Linked DNA regions of Cricetulus griseus. The protein of the gene in region 1 purifies or fractionates together with the protein of each later gene. This does not show direct contact. Links are inferred from orthologs where the notes say so. Each region holds a gene or a part of one and is shown on either strand. Other genes may lie near its edges. The genes, in order: Stk40 and Trib1.

Region 1 (11,090 bases):
TCTAATTAGCATCCCATCCACTGAGATATCAACCTTCAAAGATTGCTGCTCCCTGACCAAAAGACCCCTTCATCAGTCACTCCTGACTCAAATGTTAGGGTTTTTTCTTTTTCTTTTTTGAGGCAAGGTCTCACTCTGTAGCCCTGACTGTCATGGAGATTGATATGTAGACCAAGCTGACCTCAGACTTAGAACTCCACCTACCTCTGCCTCCTGAGTCTGGGGAATTCAAGACAAGCACCACCTCATGCTCCTTAATTTTTTCCCCCATGTGTATATGAGTGTTCTGCCTACATGTATGTACAGACACCGAGTACATATCTGGTGTCCCTAGAGGTCAGAAGAAGGCATTGGCTACCCTGGAACTGGAATGTAGATAGCTGTGATCCATCATGCAGGCACTGGGAACTAATCTGGGTCCTGTTTGAGAACAACCAGTGCTGTTAACTGTTGAGCCATCACTCCACCGAATTTTTCCCCCTTTGTTATGCTTTGTTTTGGAGATGGATTGTGTAGTCCTGGCTCTCCTGGAATTCCATCTACAGACCAGGCTGACCTTGAACTCAGAGATCTGCCTGGCTCCTTTCTTTTAAAGACAGTTTCTCTATGTGGCCCTGGCTAGCCTGGAATTGACCCATTCTGCCCCTACTTGTGATTTGCTGGAATCAAAGACAAGCTCCACCACACCCAGCAGTGTTAGATTTTTGTTTGTTCATTTTTTGAGATACAGCCTCAAGCATCCAAACCTGGCCTTGAACTCATGGTCTTCCTGCTTCTACCTCCCAAGTGATGGTATTGCAGTACACCACTTAACCAACTTAGGTGTCAGGTTCTTTTTTGCTTTCCTCAGTACTGTTAGGCCTGAGAAGTTCTTGGATCTTAGATCAGTTAGGTCAGATGCAGCCCACAGCTCCAGAGCTACATGTCTCTGGAGGGTCTTGTTGCCTCACAGAGGGAAATGAGCTCGCTCCTGTCTCCTGGCAGCTCCTGAGTTCCAGCTGTGTTTTGTCTCTCTCACTCCCTCCTCACTCCCTCCTCTCTCTCTCTCTCTCTCTCTCTCTCCTCTCTCCTCTCTCTCTTCTCTCTCCTCTCTCCTCTCTCCTCTCTCCTCTTCCCTCTCTCTCTCTCCTCTCTCCTCTCCTCTGCTATCTCTCTCTCCTCTCCTCCTCTCTCCTCTGTCTCTGTCTTTCTGTCTCCCTCTCTCTCTCTCCTCTCTCTCCTCTCTCTCCTCCGCTCCTCTCTCCTCTGTCTCTCTCTGTCTTTCTCTCTGTCTCCCCCCCTATCTCTCTATCCCTCCTCTCTCTCTCCTCACTCCCCCCATACATACACACACACACACACACACACACACACACACACACACACACACAACACCAATCTCAGGCTCCTTTTCTCTGGTTTTCTAAATTTGTTTCTACATAGAATTTTCTTCCATTCCTACTTGAAGGCTGAGCTTTTGGAATTCAGAAACTAAAAATAGTGCCTACTTTCTGTCGTGTCTTCTATTCCCCGAGGTAACAAATGGGAGTGACTTAGCTGTGAACAAGAGGGACCCAGGAACACCGAGGAAAAGATGGCAATGTGTTTCAAGACGTCATTGGGGTCTAGATTGCCATAGCATTTGCTCAAACTTTCACATTCACCTTTCCTGCAAGCAAAGTTGGGGGTCCCATTGATGGTAGTACCCCCAAGAACTCTGAATGCTCAAACAGCATTGTTCATACCCACCTTTCATTCTTGGAGAGAATTTGGTGGGGGAAGAGGTACTGTTTGTAGGGAGGGGTCCACTGAAGCTCGGAAAGCTAGACAGGCATATGGCTTCCAAGTCGGCTCACACGAGCTACACAGGGGACATTGATAGTTCCATGTCTCAGCATGGCTGAGCAGATGGGACTTAAACCAGCCCAGTGAGTTCTAGTCAGGCAAGCCTGGCTGAAGGGCCAACAAGGGCAACAAGGACCCTTGAAGTTCTCATTGTTGTTCCAGAAGGATCCAGAGGTACAGTGCAGTGTGTGAAGAATGACAAAAGCAGTTTGGATTCTGCAAGGGGGTAGACCAGCAAGGTGGGCATGCTGGGTAGCTGGTAGACCATCGAGGTGGGCATGCTGGGTAGCTGGTTCTGACCCTGAGCTTAATGACTGTGAGGTAAGGCTGTAAGTAAGCAGCTGGGCATGGTGGCACACACCTTTGATCTTAGTGCTCAGAGGCAGGTGAATTTTGAGTTCAAGGCCAGCCTGGTCTGCCTACACAATGAGTTCTAGGCCAAGAATACATCATAAGACTCTGTCTCCCAAGTTGGGTGGGGGTAGGTGTTTTCAAGGAAAAGAATAAAATGACCTTTAGAGGTAAGGCCGGTTTTGGTGGGTTTTTTTTTTTTTTGTATTTTTTTTTTAAGATTTATTCATTTATTTATCATGATATACAGTGAGTGCCAGAAGAGGGCACCAGATCACATTACAGATGGTTGTGAGCCACCATGTGGTTGCTGGGAATTGAACTCAGAACCTCTGGAAGAACAGTCAGTGCTCTTAACCCCTGAGCCATCTCTCCAGCCCCAGCAAAGAAGCCTTTTTTTTTTTTTTTTTTTTTAATTTATTATGTATACAGTCTTGTGTCTGCATGCCAGCAGAGGGCACTAGATCTCATTCAAGGTGGTTGTGAGTCACTGGTTGCTGGGAGTTGAACTCAGGACCTCTGGAAGAACAGTCAGTGCTCTTAACCACTGAGCCATCTCTCCAGCCCAGTAAGGCCAGTTTTGTTTTTTTGTTTTGTTTTGTTTTTGTTTTCGAAACAGAGTTTCTCTAGTTTTTGAAGGCTGTTCTGGAACTCTATAGACCAGGCTGGCCTCGAATTCACTGAGATCCACCTGCCTCTGCCTCCCGAGGGCTGGGATTAAAGGTGTATGCCACCACCACTCCAAAAGGCCAGTTCTTAAAAGTCTTTAAAGGTGGAAAGGCTAAGAACCATGGACCCAGGAAGAAACAGGCCTAAAGAGGGAGGGGACTCTTCCCCAGCCTGAGGTCAAGTTAAATGAGTGCTGCACTGGGCAGGATGCTTTCACCTCCCAAAAAACTGGGATTACATGCCAGGGTTACTGCAATACTAGAGATGGAACTTGGAGCTTCATACATGCCAAGGCCAGCATTGTGCCATTCAGGCTACATCTCCAGCCATCCAATGCTCTTGACAGTCTATTGCTCATCTACCCTGTGAGTTAGACATTTGAAACTTGATAGAATACTGGATCTGGTGGGTACAGCCCTATAATCCAAACTGCTACGTAAATTGAGACAGATTACAAATTCAAGGCCAGCTAGTATGGGCTGAATAGAGAGCCAGCTCCAGCAAATTATTGAGACTCCCTCAGAAACAAAAGCAGTGGAGATACAGCCCAGTGGTAAAGTATCTGACTACCATAGAAGAGGCCATAGGTTAAGTCCCAAGCACCAAAAAAGCAAAAACAAACACCAAACCTTGCCATACTCAGGCCTTGGAACTTGGACACAGAGACGTTAAAAACCAGACACTAAGAAGAGCTGGGGTTCTGAAGCTTGAAGAAGCTCCTGGGGATGAGGTCTTCTCCCCTCCTGTGATAGTCCAATCTGCCTATACCTTGTCAAGAAGCCATTTTGAGCTGTTATGACAGGTGTCACTGTGTTATGGCAGCACCATCTGTCAGTGAGCTGGAGTTGGAGAGCCAGCAGGAGACTGTCACCACGCATGTATGTCCCCGAGATCCATGAGTTGGTGTCCTGATGACAGTTTTTTTTGTTGTTGTTTGTTTTGTTTTTTAAATCTCCTCTGGATGTCATATTTAGTTTCTATTTCTTACCGACTTCCCCTCTGCTTTGTTAAAAATCCTATATTTTGAGTCAGCTGAGAGTCTACAGGGAGTGGGGCGATGGTGTCAGCACCCAGTGATTCATCTTACTGATAATTAGAGATCTGGAAAACCCAAAACTCATTCCTGTCAGAGTCAGGGCTTCCGGAACCCTTCCTTAGTCTTCCCCCTTTGTCAGAGAGAGGAGCAAAGTGGGCCTCGCTCCGGGACGCCTGCCTTTGGGTCATGCGCCTCACAGAGGCTCCCGGACTGAGATCAGTGGGCATTTATAGGGTGTGGTGAGCCGGATCTGAATCTCATTGGGCCTTCACAGAAATGGTGTGGTGTGTTATCTCCATTTGCACAGCCAGGATTTGCATTTAGTTGCCTAGCATGTAAGCGATACAACAAGGATTCAAACGCTACCCTTTTGGAGTCCACCAAACTTTCTTCAAACCACAGCCCAACCATTATTGGCTGAGTGTCATTGTAAAGGTTACGCCCCTCTCTGGGCACTAGCTCCGGGAACTGTAAGCAGGTCTCTAAAGTGCTTCACTTTGCATAAGAAACGACCTTGGGAGCTGCTGTGATTGCTATTGTCATTCAGCCTTATCTACAGCTCAGTAGTCACCAAGCATTCAAAGGGACTAAGAAAGGAATATTGCCTGGGACAGCTAGACTTCATTAAGACCAGCCTTCATGTCCCGGCAATACCTTGTTGAGGAGATGACAAATGCACGCTTACCCCCTAGCAGAGCATAGGCGGGGCCACGGTTGTCTACTCGTGGATACAGAATGACCCGGAGAGGGGGGTGGGGGAGGAAAAAATAGAGTCATCCAGCACCCCTGTTAACTTCGAGACAAAGGAGTGGGACTATGGCCGCTGGTATTGCTGCCACCGAGCCCTTCTGGCTGCTTCTATATGGCAGTGGAGGGAAGCTAGGCTTTCCGAGGGCCCCCAGTGAGTCACCAGACTGATGCAATCCCTTTAAAGGGCTCATCTGCTGGTGCAAGAAGCTGATTCATGGAGGGCGTGGTTGCTGGAGGAGGAGAAAGGGACGGAAACTGTGGCAGGAGGGAGTGAGGTAGATAGCCGGCTGAGATCAATCATTGGAACTCTTCACTGTAATCTCCCTGAACAAGACTCTAGGGATGTCCAGGGTGGACTTGGCTATCCTCGTGGTTTCTAAAGAGCCTAAAGTGAAATGAATTGCTGACGTAGCGACAGCAGTCCTGTCTTCTCTTGAACCCAACCTAAGCGCTTTACCGCACAGATCTCCAGAGGCCGAGAAATGGGGACCAAGGAAATGCCTCTTTTCTAATGAATGCAGTACAGTTGGCGATTCTTGCGGCTACTAGAGACGTCCCCAACCGCAGCAAAGTGAGAGTAGGGTCGGCAAGGTTCTGCAGAGCCAAGGCTGGGAGGCGCCTCCGTTCAGTCCCCGTGGGTGTAGATTTGCGGTAAGTACCGCCTCCTGGTTGTCCAATCGTTTTACAGATTTCGACCCAGATTCCACCTAGAACCAATCGGCGATCTTATCTGGGCCTCCTGCCTGAAGGCTTCCGCCCATCCTCAAGATGGCGGCCCAAACCCAGACTCCGGCGAGGGGGCGGGGGGAGGGGCCGCGGGGCGATGCGTCACTTCCGTTGTCAGGTGGCGGCGCCGCAGCCATGGAAGGAGGCGGTGGCAGCGGCTGCGGCTCGGGTGGCTGCGCTGGGAGGCGGCGGTGAGTGGCTCCCACGCCCCCGGCCGGGCCCCGGCCACCGGGACGGAGAGCCGAGCAGCCCCGGCTCCGGGCTGCGGACTATGGGCGAGCAGCGCTGAACCCCCGGGAAAGGTGAGTCCGGTGTCCCGGGACGCCGAGCCGGGTGGGGGCTGAGTGCTGGCGGGGCGGGCCTCGGTGACCGTGGCGGAGGGACCCCGGTGACAGCTCGAAACTGTCCAGCGCGTCAGAAACGGCACTAGCGAATGCTCCCTCCGCCGTCGGGGGTCTGTCCTTGGCGGCGGCGGGCGGGGGCGGCGGCCGCCGGGAGCCTGGGTCTTCGCCGCAGCCCTGGGGAGTGGGCACTGCCCGCCTTGCCCAGACCCACTCAAACTGTCACTGGAGCAGCGGGCGTTAGCCCCGCGCCGAGCTTCCCCCTACAGAGACCCCCTCCTCGCCGTGCTTCTCTCCTGACCTAGAGAGTGACTTGAAAGTTAGGACGAGTCAGTCCCCAGGGAGAGCCAGCCAAGGCTTTCCTCCTGGAGCCCTCACCCGTTGGCACCGACACCATCGCTGCTGGGGAATTTTCACATCCTGGGCGGCGTTCAGGTGCGAGTCACAGCTACCTGCTTGCCAGATCCACGTTGGGCCGGTCTTCACCGTGGGAGAGCTTGCTGTGGTCAATGTTTCACCTGCAGGTCCTGGTCAGGCCCGCCCATTCCTACGCTGCTTGGCCCCACCTTTCAACCTTGGTTGGGAGCTTTCCGATTCCCGGTGGCTTTTCTGTCCACCCCCACCCCCCAGGTTGTTGGCGGAAGGAAGAGATGACAGCCGCCTTCAGTGGCAGGATAGACTTTGCTCCGTTTTAAGGCACTGAAGGAAACCAGTTGGCTTTGCTGGTTTTGAGAATCATTGAGGAAGAGGGTAGTCATGCTGGGCTGGGCACCTTTCCCTCTTGGCTGAGTAGTTTTGCATGAGATAAGGAAGAGCAAAATCTGTAGGGCCCAGAGAGTTCCCATTTGTAAACAGTGCTGGGAGTTCCTCCTGCCCTCCTTAATAGCTTTGTTATGCCAGTTGTTTGTAGATTAGACTTAGGACTGCCAGAGATAGTCCTCATTCATTCATTCATTCATTCATTCATTCATTCTTCACATAACAAAAGGGTCTTGCCTGCAAAGGCGAGTGCTGTGCAGTATTGGTAGGCTTTGGATCCATACTCCCTAAGTTCAAATTCTGGTGCGGCAGCTTTCTGGTTGTGTGATCTTGGACCCTTTGTATCAGTGTCCTCATTTGGAAAACATCTGTAATGATAAAGCATTATTATGGAGAGTTACGAAGTTAACAACACATAATAAAGAGATTCTTATCTGAACTAGTTCTCTGTCTAGTTAGAGGAAACTGACCTGCAAGTAGATAGTTGAAATGTGATCTACAAAAGCAACAGGAACTGAATGCTGAGGGGACCCAGTAAGGGAAGCTGCCAGCTCAGTCTGGGACATGGAGGCACGAAGTGGAGGGGTACCCTAGGAAGAGTGGACAGTGGTGACAGGAGTCCAGTCTAGAATGATGGAGCACACGCATGCGTGGGGGCAGGGGGCGCTTAGCCAGGTGAGAATAAAGTGGAAGATGCTGTATGGAGAGAATTGCAGAGAGTCAGAAAATTTGAGTTTATTTCAGAAACCTCAGCTTGCTCAGTATAGTGGTATGGAAGCTGACATAGTACAAAGCAAAGCACAATAAGTTGATGAGGAAATGGACATCTCAAAGGCTAGTAAAAAGCTTTTATCTGAGGGGTAACATGACTAGATCCATGTTTTAGATAGCTTTCTCTGTGCAAGAGAGGTGAAGAGCTGGAGGGTGAAAGAGCTAGAGACCTCATTAGAGACCACCTTGCTTCTCCAAGAGGAGAGCTGGCAAAGGCGTAATGGATCTGTGTTGAGAAGGCACCATTTGCAACCTGTGCTACGTGGCTAACCCTTTGCAGTGCCTGGCACATGCGCCCTTCTCTTTCTGAGATTTCAGGTTCCCTAAGCAGCTGGCAAGGTAGGTCTTCCCTCCCAGAAGGCGGGTTGTAAGGGGTGTTTTATTTTCACTCTTGTGCCTTTAATGGATAAGGTTGTAGAGGTTAAGAGCTTGTTTGGCTCAAGCATATCTGGTTCTAATCCCAGCCCTGCTAGCCAGTAGGGGCTACATCATGTCTCTATGCCTAGATTTCTCATTGTAAAAAGAAACAGTGGGACTACCTCCCCAGAAGGGCAGTTGGGAGGATTAAGATAGATGTTGCAGGGTTGGTTAGTGCTCAGCATGCACTGGGTGGTAAATGCTTAGCAAATGATAGTTTCCATTGCCAGCTGCAGGAAAGGTCTGGGAACTACTTGAAGGCTGTTCACAGGAACTGGAGCTGTCAGGACTGTCATGAGGGGTTATGAGAACACTGAATTTTATTGTATTCTTTCTGAAAAGATAGTAGGGACTTGACCAGTCTGTATAGGCGCAATGTACATTCATTCAGCTCTTTTATGAAAACCTTTTTAAAAAGTAGAGGCAGAGCTAGGTAGCACTGGGAGGCAGAGCAGGTGGATCTCTGGGAGTTTGAGGCCATCATGGTTTACCTAGTGACTTTTAAGACAGTGAAGGCTACATAAAGATACCTTGGCTTGCCTGGCATTGGTAGCACACACCTTTGAGCTCAGGGGGCAGAGGCAGGTGGATCTCTGTCAGTTCGAGGCCATCATGATCCTCAGAGTGAGTTCCAGGACAGCCAGGGCTACACACAGAAACCCTGTCTCGAAAAACTAAGAGAGAGAGACTGAGACTCTGTCTTAACCCTATCCCAACCCCCAGAAAAGTAGAACTGCTGAGAAATAAAACTGTTTTGTTTTGGCCTTTTGAGACAGGGTCTCTCTGTGTAGCCCAGGCTGGCTTCAAATTTGTGTTGATCCTCCTGCCTCTGCCTCGATAGTGCTGGAATTACATACTTGTGCCTCCAAGTTTGGCAGATAAATAGCATTTTGTTTGTTTTTCAAGACTGGATTTCTCTGTGTAGACTTGGCTGTCTTTGGAACTCACTCTTTAGATCAGGCTCGCCTAGAACTCAGAGATCCTCCTGTTTCTGACTCCTGGGTGCTGAGATTAAAGGTGTGCACCACCACCACCACCACCACCACCACCACCACCACCCAGTGATAAATAGTATTTTAAAGTATGAACTGGAGAAAATGTATGTTAAGTTCTCTGGAGTCCCCACTAATGAGCCTAGTCTGGAACCTGAGTTAGCATCTTCAGGAAACATCACATTTGATATATGTGTGGTGCATCAGGTATAATGTATGCATATGCTTAGGTATATGGTGGCTCAAAGTAGAGCGTCTCTGTTGTGCACCTGTGAATTTCCCCATGTGACTGTCACGAGCTGGGTACAGGAAGAGGGGAAGGACAGACTCTGCTTTGAAGGAGGGTGTGTCCAGAGAAGACAGGCACCCTGATCCATTGGCACTTGCACAGACAGGCCCTGGGGAATCATTCCCAGAAGTCTGTGCAGTATGAAGTACAAATCAAGGGAACAGAAGGTATGACTTGCCTGGGGACGAGGACATTGAGGAGAGGTTTGGAGAGCCCTTAGAACTTTGAGAAGTGGATAGTTTCCTGGGGTCCTGTGAAGCACTTTAGGCAGTGGAAGCAGTGTGACATAGGTGTGTGTGTGTATGTGTGTGACAGTTTAGGTACCACAGGGGTTCTATCATAGACTGTAACAGGACTTGGCTGCAGGACGTTCTGGAGAGGTAAGTAGGTAGGTACCCAGTGAAGATGCTCCAACTTTGTTATTCTGTTGGTGCCTGAGTGCTGGAGACACATTAAAGTTCATCTTCCAAAGAGCCCTCTGGCTTCAGAAGAAAGATGGGCCAGGGAGAGTGAGTGCTGCAGTAATCACAGGCAGGCTAGTGGGGGCTTGGACCAGGGCAGCTGAGAAGTTGGATTGCTATGAGTTCAAGTCCAGCCATAGTACAACAGTCTCAAAAAAAAAAAAAAAAATACTGTGTAGGAAGGTTTGGAAGAGGAAAAAGAATGTGATCAAAACATAGTGTATAAATCTTTTAAAAATAAAAAAACTTGAAAGTTTGAGGATGTTGGTAGAGTGTTGGCAGCTATGTTGGTAGAGTGTTTGCTTGGCATACATGGAACCCCTCGTTCAGTCCCTAGCAGTGCATAAAAACTGGGTGTACTGGTGCATGCCAGTAATTCAGCACTGGGGAGCTAGAAGCAGGAGGCTTACAAGTTGCTGATCATCTGCTACATAGCAAGTTTGTAGCCAGCCTGTGATACACTACACTAGCTAGACCCTGTCTAAAAAGTGGGGTGGATTGGATATAGGAAAGCAGCCTGAAGCAAGAGTATCTTTTTTTCTCCACCACCTTCTCAAGTAAGTTTGTAGCTTCAAGGTGGCCCCCAGACTCCCCTACACATCTTCCCAAGCCCTGGAATCAAGAACCCAGGGGGAGAAGCTAGTGTTGTGTTTTTTTTTGCTATTTTAGAGATGGTTCCATTGATAGGGTGCATTCTGTCCTTCTAGGATACATCATGCACCGTATTGAGTGTAAATGTTGAGCAGGCTTTTAGCTGGACTGACTTTCTTTTCCCTTTTCAAATTATTTTTTGTTTGTATGTGTGTGTGGTCACATGAGTTTATGTTCACTGAATGCGCGTGTCTATGGAGGTCAGAGCGCGTCGTCAGAACTCTTGGACCTGGAGTTACAGGTAGTTATGAGCTACCTGATGGGGGTGCTGTGAACTGAACCCAGGTCCTCTGCAAGGGCAGTAAAATGCTCTCAACCAGTAGGCCATTTCTCCAACCCCTGATTTTCTTCATACATGTGATTTAGCACACCCTAAATATCTGTGTGTGGGACAAATGCCTAGAAGGGCTATTGCCTCAAAGAGCTGCTTTTGCTTCTTCTTTGACAAGGTCCTTCTATAATAGCCCAAGTTGTCCTCAGACCTACAACATAGCCCAAGCTGGCCTTGAACTCGCCACCCTCCTTTCTCAGCCTCCTGAGTGCCAAGCCTTCCTAAACCCCAGCAAGTATGCTACTCCTGAGTGAGCAGATAAAGCCAATCATCTTTCTCCTGCTTGTGGCAGATATAGGGATAAGCGAGTGAGGGTGGGTGGCAATATGGATTCCTGGGGCTTAGCTCTCTTCAGGCCTGGTGACTGCAAGGACATCCTAGTTGTCAGGAAGCAGACCTGAGGTGGTGTCCCCTCTAAATATGCATGCAGACTGCCACCTACCCTCAAGAGGGTTAGACATAGACTCTTTAGCCTTAAAGAAGTTTGCTAGCTGGGCGATGGTGGCGAACGCCTTGAATCCCAGCACTCGGGAGGCAGAGGCAGGCGATCTCTGTGAGTTCGAGACCAGCCTGATCTACAAGAGCTAGTTCCAGGACACCCTCCTAAGCCACAGAGAAACCCTGTCTCGAAAAAACCAAAAAAAAAAGTTTGCTGCCCAAGGGTCCAAAAGGAAGAGAGTGGGTTGTCATAGGGTGGGAATTGGAAAGAGAAGGATTGACTT
Region 2 (11,035 bases), on another chromosome or scaffold:
GAGGTGGCACCACACTGAGCCCCATAGGGACAATAGTGCTCTGTCCCCAAATCTGGCTGGCACCGTGTAAGAGGGCCTGCCCATCATCAGAAATGGAAATACCATGTGTGAGAATTACGAGGTTTCTGAGGTTGTTTTTGGGATCAGCACAAGAAGGAACTAATGTCATTTTCCTCTTGGTATTCGGGAACAATCTGGTCCAAAGTTCCCATTTCTGAGTCAATGTACCCTGGTTCCAAGACATACTCAAACCAGGGGTGGAGCAAGATCTCGGGAGCTGTGAGTCTCTCCGAAGGTTCTCGTCTCAGGAGGCTGCGGATGAGGCACCTGGCTTTGGGAGAAACGTGCTCAGGGATGCAGAACTGTCCACGGCGGATTTTGGAGAAAAGGGCACTCGGGTCTGAGTCATGAAAGGGGTATCGTCCAACCAAAAGCGTATAGAGCATCACCCCGAGGCTCCAGACATCCGCAGCCTTCCCTGAGTAGGTCCCAGTAGTGTTGAGGATCTCAGGGCTCACATAGGCCGGGCAGCCATGCTTGTCTGAGAGGGCGTCATCTTCTCCCTTGATGATGTGTGTATCTTCCAGGCTTTCCAGCCTAAGCTGGGTTCTGTGGGAGAGAGAAATAAACGGAGTGATTATTTTCAGACCGTCTGCAACGGAAAACCAAGGCCTTCCCAATAACAGCGCCCAGAGGCACTCACAGCCAAGGCTGCAGGAATACCATTTACCCTTCGTCTAGTAAGCGCTGGCCTGCAAGCACCCAAGACCAGCGATTTCACAAACCAATACAAACTGCAATAAATATTTGCAAAGTATTGAGAGGCCCGGGGCGGAGGGGTATGATGCAAAGTCTCAAACAACATTCACGAAGCTAGGGCTTGTAAGAGATATCCTAATAGGGTTACACAATTGACAAAGTTCACATTGCAGAATGGAGAGCTGGTTTCAGAGCAAGACTGGCATGTTCTACAAAAGCTGTCAGGGGAGAAGCAAACATAGGTGTCCTCCTTCCTCAGGTAGGGCCTGTATCTCCTACAGGCCACTACACTAGTCTCTTAGCAGGACACTGCCCAGGCCAGTTGACACCACTGACCACACTAAGGAAATTCCGTTCACCCGAGTCCCAGCTGCAATAACCACAATGGGAAAGTTGTTCAATTGTGATTATTGGGCTGTCTCACTGTAAGAACACTTAGCTGAAACCTAGAGAAATTAGGCGAAGAAACAAGAGGCTGATGGATCTGAGGGTTGCAGGGACCCTACACAGGGACTGAGGCAGATCCTACACGAGCCTCTGTCTTGTGGAGAACCTCTGTTGAAGAAGTCAGTGGAGAATGCGAAGGAAAGCACAGAAACCAAGACTGAACTGGAAAGAATAATCTAGAAGACCTTTGGCCAAAGGAACGCTTACGAAGCTGCAGGTGCCTCCCTCCCTAGGTAGAAGCAGCCACCCACATCTCCTAGAACCCCCACGGCCACGTGGGGCACCTCTAATTTCCGGTGCCTGCTTCTCCGAAACAGACCTATTTCAGTAAGTCACTTCTTGTGTAGTTACGTGCAAACATTTGGTCAATTCCTTTTCCTCTCAAAGGTCTGGTTTCTTTCTCTCTCTCTCTCTCTCTCTATTTTTTTTCTCTTTTCCAGCCTTCCTGCTCCCTGGAGTGAAGCACACATGTACTGACTTCGGTGTGTCCTCAGCGTGACCTCCCTGTTATGTAAAATACCCATCGGTTCTGTAAACGGAAAATATGACTCAACCCACACTGTCTGCCCCTGATTGGCTCCTGTAGGACTAAAACCCTGCACCTGTGCTGGTTACATGAATAGCGTCAGCCTGCCGTTGCTTAACCCTCGGGTTACCAAACCCTATGCCCATGACACCGGCCTGTGCAATGCAGATTTCAAAAACCAGCGAGGAGGTGTGTAGCACATGTTTCAAAAAGAGGCATCAGCATATTATCAAAGAAGCACATTCCAGGAACTGGACGCCTCTTCGCAGCAAACAGTTTGCTCCTCTTTGCTAATCAGTATGTTTCAATAGCTAGCGCAAGGTCAGACGCGAACTCATACTTTGAGGGCTTCAACCCTGTACTTTCTAGACCCTCGCACACCCCCCACCCCCCCACCCCCGCCCAGTTAAAGGTAAAAGTGACCAGGTAGGGTACTCCTGTGTAACTATATTCAACAAAGTCACTCACTCGAACAAGGCCAGTTCCACACTCTACCTCTCCCCACCACAGATATGGTCTGTGTTCAGGATGAAGTGTGGGGCATCTCACACAGCTTCCTGAGTTCTCCTGGTGAAACCTCCACTTCAAATCTTAGTGTCTCCTCAGTCCCTTATCAAGCACACCTTGTCCTTTATGAGGTAAGCCAAGAACTATATTTAGCGGTGCGTGCTAGCCAACTTCCATTTATTCTTCAATGTGGGTATTTTCTGAAGATGGAGCCGATGAGATGGCTAAAATCTCACCAGAAAATGTGAGCAAACCATTTCGGGGTGTGGGGTGAGGGTACCAAGGTTAAAACAGTGCAGGAATGCAGTGTGGTAGGGCTGGCTGGAATTCTGCAAACACAACAGCCTAACCAGCTCTGTCATGTCTTCTAGGCACAGCCCAGGCACTGATGGAAGCCAGGATTTGACCACCTCTTGGAGTCTGTGCTTTCCAGGACAGGTGAACACCTTTTCCCCGTTGGACTGACCTCCCTGACAAGAAAGCCTGAGCCTGGGACAGAAATAGAAGTGTATCTGTCATTAGGCAGCATCCTCAAAAGCGCCAAGGTGTCTCTAGGCTTCGCCATCCAACAGGGCAAAGAATGAACCAAGGTTGACCACAAACTTCCAGAAGCATGACTTAATACTAAACCAGGCAAGACCTGAGCCTTGGGTTTGGCTTGCACCTAACTGCATGACCTGTACCTTCAGTTTTTTTGGTTCCAAAGGGCCACAGGAGGTGCTGTGGCAGCTGCTCACCTCTCCTCCGTGGAGAAGACAAACTTCCTAAGCTTCAGGTCCCCCAGCACGATGGCCGACTGGTGGCAGTGGGCAACGGCGGAGACTATCTGCTTGAAGAGCCGAGCGGCCTCCTCTTCCCGAAGCCTTTTCCGGCTTCGCACATAGGAGTGCATGTCCCCAAAGTCCTTCTCGAAGAAGACGTAGGCCTTGGTCTCCCCAAGGATTACTTCCACGATGCCGGTAATGTTTCTGTGCGACGGCAGCTGGATGTAAGGCCTGATTTTGTCCTGGTAGTGTTTAATGGGAAACACCTGCGGAGATAAAGTGACCTGTTTAGGGGCCAGAAGTTCAGGGGCTGCCCGCCAGGTCCTACATGAAGCTGGGCTGAGGTCCTCAACCTTTGGATAGTCCATTCTCTCTGCCGTTTATGCAGCTCCAGCTGCTATGATGCCCTTAAAGCAAGTCACACCTTGGGATCCCGGCTAGCAACTTCCAAAGCCTACCCTGGTCCACACATACTTTTGTCTTTTAGGGGCCTGGTATCAGCTCCTGGGAGCCGAGCCTGACGTGGATTGGATCTTCCTAATAGATAAGGCTTGCTACAAGGTAGCTAAGGGAAGGGACCCCAGCATCCCTGCAAGGGTGAAAAGCAACAATGAAACACAGAAGGCTCAGCTCAGCACAGCCAAGGAATGTGGCGATTTCGCTGCCTCCAAGGGGAAGCAGAGGCAGCAAACATGTAGAGATGTCATTAGTCAGAGGGACTGATGACTTGGAGGGAGAGACTGACAAGGCTGCCTTAAGCAACCTTCCTATGGCTGTGACTCAGGTGGAGGCAGCCTGGGGTGTACCTTCCGACAGGAGGGGATGGGCACCTCAGAAAAGCCGTTTTCATCTGTTTACACGCCTCCCCCCACCTTAGTTGCCCCACCCCCAGAACGGAGGGCAAATCCTCTAAGAAGCTGCTGGCTGGTCTCTTTAAGGGCCTTTTGTTCACTCCGGTTACTCATATCCTAGACGCAACTGGAAATGGTGACACACGGGCTGTCACCATCTGGATTCAGCTATTATCTGCTCGGAGGAACTGGAAGGGGTTGCACAATGACCCAGACCCACCCCACCTCTGAGGTGGCTGCTCTGGTACCAACTGGGGGGGGGAATCCCTCTGCTGCTCTCTCCTCCCGCCCCACCCACCCCTCCACACAAGTTTCTCTTCCAAAACTGCTCTCATCCACCAAGAAAAAAAGGTTTTTTCCCCCCCTCTGGGCTTGACCACGCATCTGAGATTTCACGCGAGTAGACAGTAGGTGGCACCAGCAAGCGGGGAGAGGGGAGTTCAGGTGAGCTGCTGAAAACCCAGGAGCCACTCTTAACTCCAGGGGAATGAAAGCAGTCGGTGGGGGCTCTCGGTGGACCAGGGTGTGAGCGTCGCGCTCACCAAGCACAGACCGTCCACGGCTCCGCGCTCTCCAGGAGAGCCGGGCCATCCCCTATGGAGTTGTACTCCCCCTAAGGTTGCAATAAAAACTGGCGGACGCAAACTACAGCGAGTGGAAGCGAGAGCCCCTGGGAGCTCCTCAACACTCTTCTCAATCAGGCCTGGAGCCCCTCCCAGGCTTAAACCCCCGCAGGCCCGCGACTCCCTGGGGTGGGCTGTATTCTGGTTCCAGCCAGAACCCCCTGGGTAGAAGCCGGACACCGTGTCTGCAGAGCCTGTGCCGCGAACGTCCGGCTGAGAGCCTGCCAGCTGCTCCAAGCCGGGAGGAGGCACCCACTGCAGGGCGTCCGTCCAGGGCAGGGGGAGGAGGGGGGGATGAGAGCAGGGCAATGGCATGGCCCTGGAATCCATTGCAATTCCAAACTTAAATGGGACGCCACGCGCTAGCCACACTTGAGCGCCAAAGAAAAAAAGCACCGAGATGAACCCCTCCACTTGCCCTAGACCGCGGGTCCCTCAGCAGAACACTCCACAGGAAAGCCCTCAGGGGCGAAGCTGACCAAAACGCCCTCTTGATCCGACTTTTCAAAGCCCTTCCTTAGCGGCTCTGCCAACCCCAAAGCTCCGGCCGGGGCGCGATCCGGGGTAGCCAAGCCCTCGTGCCAGGCCCGCAGCCCTGGCCCCCGGGATGCTTACCTTGCAGCGCAGCTCGCGGCCGGTGTGGATGCACAGCGCCCGGGACACATGCTCGCGCTCGGCTAGGGGCAGCAGCAGGTAGTCGGCGATGCGGCTGGGCCCGGGTGCGCTCGCACAGCTGCCGCCGCCGCCGGTCCCCTGAGCGGAGGGCGGAGGCTGCGGGCTGCAGGGCGAGCCCGGGGGACTGAGGTAGTCGGGGGGGCTCGAGCACTCGGAGAGGCGCGGACACTTGGCCGCCACGGCCGCCGCGTCGTCCGCGTCCAGCAGCCGTTTGGCCGGGGTAGCCCGGGCGGCCGGGAAGAGCAGAGCCGGAGCCGAGCGGGGCTGCGAGGCGCCGCCGAGTGCAAAGCGCACGGGACCGACCCGCATCGCGGCCCTGGCCGGAGCGGCCCCGGCTTTGGAAATCCCGGGCTCGGCGCTGCGATTCCTTCCAGCCCTCGGGATGCCGTTGGCAGACGGAGCTCCGATCGGTCCCCGAGAGGTGCGCGACGACAGCCGTTCCCGGACGCCGGCGTCTTCCACACGAGGACCACGCTGGCCACGCGTCCGGGCTGGGGAGGGAGGCCACCCGGGGTCCCCAGACTCCCGCGGCCACCAGGTCTGGGCGCCTCGCGGGCGGCGGCGGCGGCGATCGGGGCCGCTATTGTTGCCGACGCTGGGGGCTGAGTCCCGGGACGGGGAGGCGGCCCGGCTTCCCCGGCTTCCCCGGGTTCCGGGGCGCTGGAGTCTGGAGGATCGGATTCCGCAGGCTCGGTGGCTTCCCGGAGCCAAGGCACTCACTTCCAAAAGCAATTAAGTGGGGAGTAGAAGCCGGCACAACTTTGCCGCGCCGCTCGGGATCCTGCGCGCTCCGGGAGTGCGAGCGGGCGGGCGGGCGGTGGAGCGTGCGAGCCGCGCTCAGAGAGAGAGTGGCTGGATGTGAGTGTGTGCGCCGCACTGATGCCGGCCTGTGCGCTCCTTCTCCTTTTCCTCCACCTCCTCCGCCTCCCGGTGACTCACGCTGTATACACACACACACACTCACACTCACACACACACTCACACACACACTCACAGGCCGGGCTGTGTAAACAGTTGGGAAGCCGGGTTGTGCAATGAGGTGGCTGCGACGACTCCAGCCCCGTCGCCCCGGCTCACAGTCACCGGAGCGGAGGGAGGAGACTGGGGAGGGGAGGGGGGGAAGGAGGGGTGATGGAGTGGGAAGCGGGGGACAGCGGGGGTGGCCGGAGGCCCGGGGATGCTCCCGACTGCGCGCGCCTGGGCGCAGGTGGGAACGTCCGTCCGTCCGTCCGGGGCCGTCTTGGGCGCGCGCGCAGGCATGCACGCTTGCACGCTTGCACGCTTGCACGCGCCCCCCGGGGCTAGGCTGGGCGGCAGGCTGCGCGCACCCGAGCGCTGGCCCCGCGGGCTCGGCGGCCCGGAGCCGAAGGAGGGGGGCGGAGGAGAAGCTCCCGTGACGTCAGGGTCCCGGGGAAGTGGGCGGGGCTGGGCGGGGGCGAGGCGGCCGCTGATTGGCGCGCGCGCACCATTCACACAACACAATGGAGTGCGAGCTCCCGGCCGGCGCGCGGCTCCCCTCCGTCCGGGCTCGGCGGGAGCCGCTGGCTGCAGCCCCGGTGGGGACGTCCCCCGTGGCTCTTGCACTCCGGGAGCTCCCGGTGGAGCTGCGGGCGCCGCCGAGTCGCGGCTGCAGCCCGGAGGAAGGGGCGAGAGGGAAGGTGATGCATTCCATTTGCAGTCATTCACCACCACCCCACCCCACCCCCCCACGCGGTAGTTCCGGGGAAAGACCTGTGCGTGGTAGTGAGTGTGGCTTTTTTTTTTTTCTCTCTCTCTCCCCCTTCCTTTTCCTGCCTCCTCCCGGCTCTAATCCCCAGCGTCTGTTCGCTTCCACAAATAGAACCTTCTGTTGGATGAAATAAAAGCAAACACTGGGCCTTCTGCTCTGCCTCCACCTCCACGCCCCTCCCGCTCGCCCGCTCGCCCGCCCCGATTTGCACGGAAATAGCTTCTTCTCCAGGCTCCTGGGCCGCCCCTTCGCGGTGACTCGCAGAAAGAGCTTCCTGAGCTCCGGCCGGTGGGAAACAAAGGATGTGGGGAACTGGCGGAAGGGGCCCACGTGGCAGCCGCCAGATTCCTGTCTCCTCCCGCCTCCGTCCACGCCCTAGGTAGGGTCTAGGGCGCCAGAGCGGTCCAGGGTATTGGAGTACCGGTCATTGGATCCACCGCCAGGGGTAGACACTACACTACCTGCACCCGGACAAGGTCGCGTGTGCGCGTTCGTGCAGCCTGAGTTGGGTGCCCTTGGAACTGGCTTACCCTGCTCTGGAAGCTGCTTTGCAGTCACATTTTGTGTTGTTAGGGTTTCTGTCCCCTCCCACCCCCACCCCCCCTTTCGCAAACCAGGTCAGTTTGGAGTCCCTGGATCCTCACTCAGCACAGATACCTATTATCAAAATCCTTGTGCTTATGCTGAATAATTAATTTTCTAAAACCAGGTCAAGCCCAAGAATAAATCCTTTTCATTATTAATTCTCCAGCCATTCAACAAACGCTAATTAAGCATCTCCAAGGGCTAGACGCTGGGGATTAGACAACTTAAATTGAACCGGTAATGCTGGGATGGGGTGGGGGGAACAGGCTCCTTGTTCTTAGCGCTTTGCACACCTTGCTACACTTTGGTTCTGTGCTCACTTCACAGGGTTACTTTTTGCCCCAAGAAAGAAACGGAAGCCTAGAACTTGCTGTGTCTCCTTGAAAGGCTGTCTCCCGAGTCTCCTTCCAAGGCTAAGTGCTAACAGCACGCAAGGAGTCTCCGAAGAGACTACATTTGTGAGACTACAATTTGCATAGAAAGGAACCATTAGGGGGACCTCCATCTGCAACACCCTGGACCTGGGTTAGGAGAGCTGTTAAGAGGAGAGCTATGAACAGTGGCTGGCCAGGAGGGCTAGCCAAGAAGGACAGGGCAGCTCCCAGGAAGGCAGGGAGCTGATCTTCACAGGTTGTTGGGAGCTAGTATGTTTAAGAAATTTCTCAGCCGGGCGTTGGTGGCGCCCGCCTTTCATCCCAGCACTCGGGAGGCAGAGGCAGGTGGATCTCTGTGAGTTCGAGGCCAGCCTGGTCTCCAGAGCGAGTGCCAGGATAGGCTCCAAAGCTACACAGAGAAACCCTGTCTCGAAAAACAAACAAACAAAAAGTTTCTCTAAACCTGGAGGTGGTGGTGCAGGCCTTTAATCCAAGCACTCAGGAGGCAGAGTCAGGTGGATCTCTGAGTTCTACAGAGCCAGTTCATCGTAACCCGTTTACATCACCAAAGACCACCATTGTTTCAGGACACCTCAGCTAAACACTGAGATGATCTTCACAAACTCACTTTCTCGAGCTCTCTTAGCGCTTTGCACACCTTGCTACACTTTGGTGGGAGCCTCTGGAAGACCAGGAGCAGGTGGGAGGCAGAGGAGAGTTACCAGGAGCTTCCCACATCTACCCTTCTCTTTGAGACTGGACTCTCCTCCCTGGTTGCCGCAAGGGCATAGCAGAAGCTCTTTCGGGAACCGCCTTGACAATCTTCACACTGGCCATCCTCACATCCAGTGACTATCTCTGGTGGAAGGATGATGGCCGGGTCCTCTTGCCAGGGCCTCTGCATTTCCAGTTTCCAAGCCCCCAGCTGGAGGCCATGGAATTCTTCTTAGATTGCAGTGAGCCCAGCTACTCCTCCTGCCCCAGCTACTCCTCCTGCCCCAGCTACTCCTCCTGCCCCATCCAGCTCCTTCCCTGCCTTCCACTTCCTGCCTTCTGTTTCTCATTTCCAAATGAGTAGCTCCTGGGGACCCCAGTCCATGGCACCCTCTCTTCATAAGCCCAGCTCACTGTAAGGATTCTGGCTCCTGGGATCAGGTGATACCACCTTGTCTCCTAGTCCTCGAGTGACAGTGACTTCCTGTTGTTAAATTCTGAGTCACCCTCAGCCCTATGCTTTGTTCTGTTTTATTCCTGCTTTTCCAATACCTTTGGAACCAGTTCCCCCTATTAAATTCTTTGTAGCAAACTCGTTGACCTGGAGTCTGTTTCCTTGTGTAGCCCCTTCTCTTTCTCTGCCTGCCCCCCAACTTAGTGCAAGGCTGTATGCTGGATTCCTACAGTGAGCTTCTGAGCCATGAAACCACCCTTTCAGACAACAGCAAATACCTACTATGTGTCGGGGTACCTACTAAGTGCTGCGGTTACAGGTGCACACACAAAGTCAAGCTGCCCTCTATTCCCTTAATTCATTTTTTTTTTTTCAAATGCACAACTATACCTGGTGAAACGTAAACCTGATCACATCAAGCCCTGGCCTGCCCCTGAAGGACTCAGAGAAAATCCACACCCCAGACTAGAAAAGTAGACCTTCATTCAGGTCCGGCTTCATTCTCAAGACTGTCTTTCTCGTCTCCTGGTCTCCTGTCCTACCCGTGCCAGGTCCTGGCAGGGCCCCAAACACACCTGCCAATTCACACCTCTGCACAGTTGCCCCTAACAGCCCCTCCCACCGGACTCTTTCTTCTCCCTCTGCCAAGCTAATGGGCTCCCACTCATCCCCAGCACCTGCAGTGAGGAGGTGTGAACGGCATCCAAGTGCAACGAAGTCACACCTTCTGTGGTGCTTCCCACTGAGCTGCGCTCCCAGGAAAGGGAGGTCAAACCTTACTCACTCTAGTGGCAGCTCAAGATCTCTCACTTAAGAGGGGTCCCACAAGTGGCCATGGATTGTGGGTCACCCACAGGGACTGCAAGCGACAAGAGACTGTGGGGGGGGAAAAAAAAAAACAACATTCAGGCAGGGACAGGGCTGGAGACTCCACGGCACATGGAAGACAACAGGCTGTAGATGGCCCAAGAAAGCAGGAACTTAAGCTCTGAAGCTATGTGTGCAGGAGTGGACACACATACCACTGGCTGAGCGAGCCGCCATCTGGTAGGACAGGAGACAAGGGAGAGAGGTTGTCTTGATTTGGTCCTGAGGCTTTCTTTGATGCCAAGTCTGGACTGAACTTGCCTCCGGCTTCTCAGGCCCTGACCAGACAAGCCAACTGCTCCTTTTGTACCTTGATTGCCTCACCTATGAAAAGGGTATAAGAAAGATTTGCTTTTCTTTCCCTGCAAGGGAAAGAAATAGATACAATTATGAAAAGTGCTTTAGGGTAATTGGCTTGTACGTGAACATGAGGTGACCGGGATTATTAAGGCTTGCCATAGGCCAGAACTCAAAAGGCCTTTGCATGAAAACCCAAGACAATGAATAGAAGTAATTCTTCTCTTATAGGATGCAAGCAGGAAGTAATTCTTCCCGGTTAAATGGTGATGTTGGCTCTGTAACAACGTCTGCCACATGGTGTTACTTGCCAACTCCCCTGGTACACTGGCAATGTGAGGCAGAAGCCAGAATCATCGCTGATTTGGGGTAGGGGTGTGAGTGTGAGCACTTGTCCCGCAGAGCCTCAGCAGAGTGCTAAGTTGACACCTGGTGCTCAGGACTGGTTGAGTTGGAGGGGAGGTTGATTTAGCTCTGACTTTTCAGGAACTTGCACATTGCACAACACAGGGAAGCCCTATTGATTTTTCTGGATGAGGCTGAGCTGCTGATCTGCTCAGGCTTAATCCATTCCGGGGAGTGAAAAGGGAGGTGTGCACCCCCGATGCTGGAGGGTTCTGGGTGCCCCTGCATCGAGACACCCGGAGCCCCATTTGTACCTCCATGCTGTGATGGGATAATCATTTCGTACACTGTGACGATGTGTCCTTAAGGTGCCTCATGATTGGTTTAATAAAGAGCCGAATGGCCAATAGCTAGGCAGGAAAAAATAGGCGGGACTTCTGGGCAGAGAGAGGAGCTCAGGGTGAGTCAGAGACACCAGTGAGATGCAGAGGAGGTAGAAGTAAAAAGCCATGGGGCAG

What was found.
Region 2: the proteins of Stk40 (region 1) and Trib1 purify together in Homo sapiens (affinity purification with mass spectrometry; 3 studies listed by BioGRID and IntAct, counting the BioPlex papers as one, with this or other methods). This does not show direct contact. The link is inferred for Cricetulus griseus from reciprocal best matches to the Homo sapiens genes STK40 and TRIB1.

Annotation. Positions count from the first base shown.
Region 1 is NC_048595.1:26,938,322-26,949,411, reverse strand, and holds the start of Stk40 (serine/threonine-protein kinase 40), read left to right. Parts: upstream 1-4,896; 5' UTR 4,897-5,281; intron 5,282-5,465; exon of another isoform or gene 5,466-5,658; intron 5,659-11,090. UniProt on the Homo sapiens protein: May be a negative regulator of NF-kappa-B and p53-mediated gene transcription.
Region 2 is NC_048603.1:27,985,669-27,996,703, forward strand, and holds the start of Trib1 (tribbles homolog 1), read right to left. Parts: upstream 5,493-11,035; 5' UTR 5,462-5,492; coding exon 5,093-5,461; intron 3,270-5,092; coding exon 2,977-3,269; intron 610-2,976; coding exon 144-609; 3' UTR 1-143. UniProt on the Homo sapiens protein: Adapter protein involved in protein degradation by interacting with COP1 ubiquitin ligase. The COP1-binding motif is masked by autoinhibitory interactions with the protein kinase domain.